Ovis aries: one gene and its partner. The protein of the gene in region 1 purifies or fractionates together with the protein of each later gene. This does not show direct contact. Links are inferred from orthologs where the notes say so. Each region holds a gene or a part of one and is shown on either strand. Other genes may lie near its edges.

What was found. The genes of interacting proteins can lie anywhere in the genome.
Region 2: the proteins of OSBPL8 (region 1) and GLG1 purify together in Homo sapiens (co-immunoprecipitation; 3 studies listed by BioGRID and IntAct, with this or other methods). This does not show direct contact. The link is inferred for Ovis aries from reciprocal best matches to the Homo sapiens genes OSBPL8 and GLG1.

The regions. Positions count from the first base shown.
Region 1 is NC_056056.1:112,358,277-112,361,861, reverse strand, and holds part of OSBPL8 (oxysterol-binding protein-related protein 8), read left to right. Parts: intron 1-408; coding exon 409-612; intron 613-2,045; coding exon 2,046-2,130; intron 2,131-3,585. UniProt on the Homo sapiens protein: Lipid transporter involved in lipid countertransport between the endoplasmic reticulum and the plasma membrane: specifically exchanges phosphatidylserine with phosphatidylinositol 4-phosphate (PI4P), delivering phosphatidylserine to the plasma membrane in exchange for PI4P, which is degraded by the SAC1/SACM1L phosphatase in the endoplasmic reticulum.
Region 2 is NC_056067.1:1,542,949-1,547,320, reverse strand, and holds the start of GLG1 (Golgi apparatus protein 1), read left to right. Parts: upstream 1-1,516; 5' UTR 1,517-1,536; coding exon 1,537-1,980; exon of another isoform or gene 1,981-2,077; intron 2,078-4,372. UniProt on the Homo sapiens protein: Binds fibroblast growth factor and E-selectin (cell-adhesion lectin on endothelial cells mediating the binding of neutrophils).

The sequences.
Region 1 (3,585 bases):
TCCTTGACAGTTCAAGTAGTACTGAGGTCTTCTTGCCTACTATTCTGAAAACACCTGTGGACTTACATTGGCTCTACTTACTAATCTTTAAGCTCCAGATCTCGGTACTAGGAAAGTATGTTTTAATGGCCCCTGACCTGGCCAGGAAACAGGATTCTTTTGAAAATGTTGATGTGATGCAGTCTCCCACTAGAATTTAAGTTCCTTGGAAGTAGCAGCCGTGCTGTTTTCACATTTATTTGTAGTGCTGGCTAATTAGTAGCTTAACGAATATACATCTAGTGAATTTAAAATGTACATTGTTTGAAAATTTTAGAGTAAAACACCCTATTTGCCTCTATTCATTTAGTACCTTGTGAAGCAAAAAAACAGACCTTTATTTCTTAAAATAAACTTATCTTTTTGTAGATTCGTGGTACCCTAAAGAGCTGGACTAAATTGTGGTGTGTGTTGAAACCCGGTGTGTTGCTGATCTATAAAACCCAGAAAAACGGTCAGTGGGTAGGAACAGTCCTTCTGAATGCCTGTGAGATCATTGAACGTCCATCAAAAAAGGATGGCTTCTGTTTTAAACTTTTCCATCCTCTGGAGCAGTCTATTTGGGCAGTGAAGGTAAGTAAGCACTTGTTACACAGGCGAAAAGTAAGGGTGACAGTCTGTGAGTAGAGCTGAGCCACGTCAGTGAGTGGCTGGCGAGCGGTTGCTGTCCTCTGCCAGAGCTTTCTTTCTGTCCGCAGCCCCGTTGTTCCTCCTCCTGTCTCTGCCCACAGTGAAATGTGCACCGTAGTGCTTAGTTTATTTTACCTCTAAGATCAAACTTTTTTTTTTAACTTCATTTTTATTTTATTTTATTTTATTTTAATTAAGATCAAACTTAAAAATTTCTCCAGAAAATGTTTCTCAAATTTATGTTGTACCCTATTCTCTCTTGTCTGTGGGGATTGTTTCTACTATTCTTTTAGTTTGCAATTACTAGCTTTGCTTTGTAATAGTGTATCTGGTTTGCTGTGACTGTTTTTCTCTTGATCAATTTGTCAGACTCCCTAGAACAGAAGCTGCCTTTTCTTTTGGTGGTCTTTCCTGCAGGGATGTAAACTTGTGACTGGAAGCCTGTAAGCAGAAGGGGTCTTATTTACTCTTGAGAGGCAGCTTTCTTGGAAGATGGAGCTCTAATGCTTTTATAACTAAAAAGCATGACTGTGGTCACTCCTATGAATAGGAACAGAATAATGTTTGTAAATTTCTGCTTTGTGTCAGGGACTCTTTTCAGCATACTATATGGAATCTTTTTTTAAATTCTCCTACCTGTAAGGAGGATACAAATTTCTCCTATTACCCAGATAAAGAGATTGAGGCCTAAAGAAGTTACTTAAGTAGTTTTTCTAGTATGGAGTCATACAAGATTGAAACCCAGGCAATTTGACTCATGGGCTTACCCTATAGTGTTCTAGGAACTGAACTGTAAATTATAAAGCCATTTGAAAACACCCAGGGGATACTGTAGGATTTGTTGAAATCATATTGATTTGTTTCTACTTTTTTCATTTTGAATGTTCCTCCTTACTTCCTGAGGTGTATGCTTCTTAAAATCCGTTTTATTCTTTGACAACTTAAAAAATTATTTTTCCCCAGACCTAGTAAAAGTTCATTTCTCTCTTTCTTATATTTCCAGCTGTTTCTTTAGGCTTCCAGAAATTTAGTATTTCTTAGCTAGTAGTTTTTGTAGTGTGGAAATTCTCCATTAAATTAAAATTTGGTCTAGTATGTTAAATTTTAGGCTTTTTAAAAATATGTAAACCATCTGCAGAGATAATATTAAGTGTTAACTATAAATTCAGTTTTCTGGTAAGGAAGTTAAGTTTGGTGGAAGAGGAAAGCTTTCCTGACTGCTTGGCATTTGCTCTCAAGAAGCATGAAATTAACGCTTGCTTGCTTTTAAAAATTATAATCTATGCCTTACTTAGTTTATTACAGATATAATGCATAATATAAAGTTGAAATCTCATAATACTATACACCATTTAATTGTTATTTTGCTTTTTAAGGGTCCAAAAGGTGAAGCAGTTGGATCAATAACTCAGCCCTTACCTAGCAGTTATTTGATCATCCGAGCCACTTCAGAGTCAGATGGTAAATAGAAATAATGGATTGGATTTCGATCCTCATTTTTAAGGGTTTATTTCATATATGACTGTGTTTTCCTTTGGGAAATTTGTCTTTAGTATGGAATGTCAGTAAAGGTATTACAATCATAAATTATTTAGAACACTAAGTATTTATATCATCAACTTGATTGACAAGCAGGGAAATCTGATAGAAAGGAAGCATTGTATATTGAGTGATAAATTAGCAGCCTGGAGTTTCCACTTCATCTTTCATGACATATCAACACTCTCTTGGCTTGGCTAGTGTTGTCTGTGGTAATTCATTGTTTTGTCATTTTAGAAGTACATTTAATAGTATTTATATTTTATCATTAAATGTTAACATGAGACACCACGTGCATTGTTTTTCTTTACATAAGACATTCAAATTCGAGCTTCTCTTATGTACTTAATATTTACTTCCTGAGGCAAACATAGGGAGGGTATAACTTATATGAGAGCAAGTCATCTTTAAAACCTTAATAACTGGTAATGGATTTTTTTCCCCAACTTTTATGTTTTATAGTTTAGACCATCTTAGCTTATGTAACCTTCTAAAGTTTCCTTTCACTAGATGGTTATTTTTTAAATTAAAATATCATATGCATGTGTTTTCATTATGAAAATGATTTATTTGGCTGATTTTTTAGCATATCTTGAAACAAATATATATGACTTCTCAGAGCAATTAACATTTTTTTCTGCTAATATTGTTCTGAATTTTATTTTTTTTTTTTAGTTTTTATTTTTAAATTTTAAAATCTTTAATTCTTACATGCGTTCCCAAACATGAACCCCCCTCCCACATCCCTCCCCATAACATCTCTCTGGGTCATCCCCATGCACCAGCCCCAAGCATGCTGCATCCTGCGTCAGACATAGACTGGCGATTCTATTCACATGATAGTATACATGTTAGAATGTCATTCTCCCAAATCATCCCACCCTCTCCCTCTCCCTCTGAGTCCAAAAGTCCGCTATACACATCTGTGTCTCTTTCCCTGTCTTGTTCTGAATTTTAATTTCAAAAATAGTTAGTAGGAGAGGAGGACTGAATTGGGAGTTTGGGATCGACATGTACACACTCCTGTATTTAAAAAGGATAACAAACAAGGACCTACTGAATGGCACAGGGAACTCTGCTCAACATTCTATAACAACCTAAATGGGAAAAGGTTTTGAAAAAGAAGAGATATTTGTATATGTACAGCTGAATCACTTTGTTGTACACTGGAAAACAACATTGTAAATCAACTATGCTGCTGACTGCTAAGTCACTTCAGTCGTGTCCGACTCTGTGTGACCCCATCAACTATCGTCCAATATAAAATAAAATTTAAAAAAATATATATAGTCAACCACACATTAAAAAATTAAGTTGTTAATGTTTCTCCTGACTAATATGACAATAACATTATTTGTACAGGAATTTTTCTGACTT
Region 2 (4,372 bases), on another chromosome or scaffold:
CTGTGATGCAGAAGACCTGGGTTCAATCCCTGGGTCAAGAAGATCCCCTGGAGAAGGGAATGGCAACCCACTCCAATATTCTTGCCTGGAGAATTTCATGGAGAGTCCATGGAATCACAAAGAGTTAGACACAACTGAGTGACTAACGCTCAGGACCACATTATGGCAGTAGCTTGAGGAAGTTTTGGCAGAAATGTCAGGAACATGCCCTCATTTCTAAAAACAGAGGCCTGTGTCAGCCACAGTGAGCAGTTGGTACCCCCAGAATATTCTTATTTTCAGCAGTTCCTTATGGAGTCCATGAACCCCCACCCAATTTCTCAGGTTCTAGTTATGTCTTGTCGGTCTTCACTGCCCATTTGTGGGTCAGGACAGCAGAAGCTGCATTTGTGAACATGGATGACCCGTGGGGATCACATGTCCCAAGCTGCCCTGATTCCCCACCACGGTATACCGGCAGGGTGGGATAAAAGTGCACCGCACCAAGTGAGAGGCCAGGGGTTCTGGTTCCAGGCTGGCAAAGTTCATCCTGGGCAGGACATTTAACCCTGCTGTGCAGAACTGTTACCATCTCTGCCGTTCTTCAGCTGAGTGAGAACCCAACTCAGGCCTGATGCATAGCTCAAATGACACAATAGATGTGAAGATGCTTTGGGAAGGTATCTCTCTCCTGTGGAGGAGGGGGGACTAGTGAGAAGTGAAACCACCATTCCCACCTATAGTGCTGCTAAAGATGCTGCATGCAGGACAACAAGCCAATTACCGAGGCACAACCAACCTGAGGCCTCAGCATGTTTTGCTACTTCCTCCTCGAAATGTGGGTTTAAAATCTGGCTCAGATACAAAGGGTTTCCCGGTTTATTCATAATATTGGTTATAACTTTTTGAATCCCATATTGTGGGCCAGCCACTTTATTTCTAATCTTCACAATTATACTTCACATTAGAGCTCCTCCTCTGCCTTCTCAGACGAGGAGGCTCAGAGAAATTAAAAGATTTGTCTAGTCTGCCAAGAGCTAGAATAACGGGCTCTTTCTTCTGGAACCAGTGCTCCTAACCCTGATTCAGCGCTGCCTTCCTCTCTGGGTAAGAGAAGCTTCTGAGGCAGATGGAAGGAAGGGAGAAGTGCAAGAAGAGGTTCCTGGATATCGGAATACACCTTATCGTGTAAGGCTCACCTCTACGCATAAAGTTTTTTCTTTCAAGTCACAGAACGGGTGACACAGTCTACCGGCCATCTTGGTTGTGGCAATCCCAATCCTTTTTTTTTCTTTTGGTGACGGACAACCAAAGAAATTAGGCAAGGCGGTCCTCCCCAGGGATCTGAAGGTGCGCCAGAGACGCCCAGCGTCGCCCTCTCGCCGGCCGAGGTCCGGGGCGCCGGCCCTCAGAGCCCGGCGGCGTGCGCGCTCGGCGCCCAGCGGCGGGTCCGCGCGGCGGGAGGGGTTCGAGGGACCCAGCCGGCCCCGCCCCGCCCCGCCCCCTCATTTAAATACGCGGCGCCGGCGGGCACGTCGAGCTCGCCGCGGACTCAAGATGGCGGCGTGTGGACGTGTACTGAGGATGTTCCGCTTGGCGGCGGCGCTGCCGCTGCTGCTGCTCGCGGCGGACGGCGCGCAGAAAATCCAGGGCCCGGGCGGCCACGGGCAGGGCCCGGGCCCGGGGAGCAACCTTCTTCCCCTCGGAGCGCAGCCGGGAGGCGGCGTGCTGCCGGGTCAGCTCCTGCTGCCTCAGTCATCTCAGTTGCAGCAGCAGCCGCAGCAGCAGCAGCCTCAGCAGCAGCAGCCTCAGCAGCAGCAGCCGCCGTTCCCCGCGGGCGGGTCTCCGGTCCGGCGGGGCGGAGCAGGGCCCGGCGGGGCTGGCGGGGGCTGGAAGCTGGCGGAGGAAGAATCCTGCCGGGAGGACGTGAGCCGTGTGTGTCCCAAGCACACCTGGAGCAACAACCTGGCTGTGCTGGAGTGCCTGCAGGACGTGCGAGAGGTGAGGCGCCGGGCGCCGGGCGCGCAGGCCTGGCCGCCGCGGACGCCGGGCGGCCTGGGCAGCCGCTGACGCCGCGGCCGCGCCTCTCGCTTCCTCTGCGCGGCCGCCCGCTCCCCGGCGCGCTCCGGGGAGGGGACCCCACCCCCAGCCCTCCCTCGCTCCCGGCGGGGGTCTGGGACGCCCACCCCGGCTCCTGGCCGCCGTCGGCCGAGGCCCAAGCGGGTCTGTGTTTGCTCCGGTCTTTTGTGTGATGCTCTAAGCGCGGTGGCTCCTCGGTGAAGACCTGTGTAGGATTTTGCTCCCCTTTTCGATTTGGGTAATTTGTAGCAGCTCTTTAAAACGTGAAAGATGGTTGGCGTACTTCAGCTGGTAAAGAATGCCCTGCTGTTTATTGGCAGTAGGTAATGTTTAGACAGCTCGGGTTCTGTTCTGATGTGTATTGTAGTCTGCAGCCAGATTTACTGTCTTTACCCTATTCTTCTGTAATTCAAAAATTCCTGTTATTTATCAGCTGCTGAAACTAATATATGCTTTTTTTTTTTTTCCTTCACGTCTTTTGGTCAATTTGTAATAAATCCCAAGTGGTCCCGAAGCTTGAGAAGTTGAGGCAGCGTTTGAAGCTGGGCTGTGAGGTCTTTGCTTTCTGATCTTTTTGCCTGTCTGACTGTACCTCTTAATGCCGTCTTGTTTTGATGTTCTTTGATGCCATTCAGTTTAGTAACACAGAACTCTCTAGATTTAATGCTGCAGACGTTAAGTGCAGTTTTGACAGTTATCAAAGTTTGGGAGCAAATCTGGTAGGGACACTTTTTCCAACGTTTAAACAAAGGCCCCAAAGTTGGCATAGAATGAAACCATTGCTTGATACAGTTTTATTTGGAAAATTGTTATCAGAATTGCCTAAGATGTTCATGGTCACAGGAAGACCATTGGTTTGTAGAAACAGGCTAGTCTTGGCAGTTTTTTCCCCCCTTATCCCACCTGATATTTGCTCTGGTAGTCCATACAGAGTAATTCACAAGAGGAAAAGATATACATGCTCAGGGGACAGAGAGAAAGGAAATTTCTAGAGCCACCAGAAATGTGGAGCCTTCGATGACTTATCTACAATTTGGAAATTAGAAAAAGAATCCCTTGTTCTTGATCCTTCACCTACGTCTCTAGTCAGTACGGCTAAGATTCTCAACTGTGTCACGCTTCTTGAAATTTTCTGTTTGCCTTTGAGGATATAAAATACATGCTGTTCTCTCAAACTAGGATCGTAATGTTGAAGACCAAACATTTGGTGAGTAGTTTGTGGCAGAAACAGGATGTTATTAGGGAAAGTGGCCCTTTCTAGGAGTACCTCTTTCTTGACATGTATTAAGGACACGTGGATTCTGTCACTCACAGGAGCAGTGTTCCTTTGTCATGCTTGTAGAAGTGTGCAGCAGCATATATGATCCATAAATACCAGATCTGAGCACTTTTGGAGTCGGGTTAGTTAGCTAGATACTGTATTTCTTGCATTATTTACTGTACAAAACCTGGCCTGAAAGTGCAGGTCCTGTAGTTCCACCTTTGAGTGTAAGACTCTCAGCAGGGATATTGTTTCGGTAACTACATTTTCCTTCCTTTCTGGGGATGTTATTTAAACTCTTTGAAGGTAGTTACTAGGTCTTGTACTTCCTTTGTAGCTTTCCAGAGTACCTAATTCAGTGCCTAGACTCAGTAAATAGTGTTGACTGATTGAAGGTGAAGTAAACTAATGGAGTCTGTTTTATGAAAGAAAAGATGTCATGTAAATTGAAAGAGGGGACTTTTGGAGGGCAGGGGTTTATTCCAAATTTCCAGTTGTTTGGTTTTTTTTTTCCTCCTATTTTATATACATAAAAATTGAAAGAATAGTACCATGAACAACTATATATATTCTTTAAGAGGTGGAGCTAGTTTTAAACTACTTTTTTTTTTTCCTTTAAAGACAGCAAAAAGAAATTTTACTCCACTTAGAGAATTAGTTAAATCTATGCATTTGAAAGCATATAAGAAGAAAGTGAACTAGCTAGGCACATTTGAAATGGAAGTATGGAACGTGTTTCTTATGTGCTTTTTGGTACAAAGGACTGTTTGATAGGAACGCAGACATTTGTGCTTCTTTATTCCTTTGGATACTTATTTGGGGGAAGGTTGTTCTCTGTGTTCTTGCTGTTAGTATTTCGAAAATGCAAAGCATATGACTATTTAAATGGTAGTGTGGTAAACCACATTTTTATTTTGAAGTAGCATGGATATATGGTGTTAGGTTAAGTCTTAAGTTCAAATATTTTAAGGTTCCCTTTAGTGTTCAAAGTTACGTATTAATTCACTTACAGAATCTATTTGAAGGTATTTATGGATGGCATCACCGACTCGA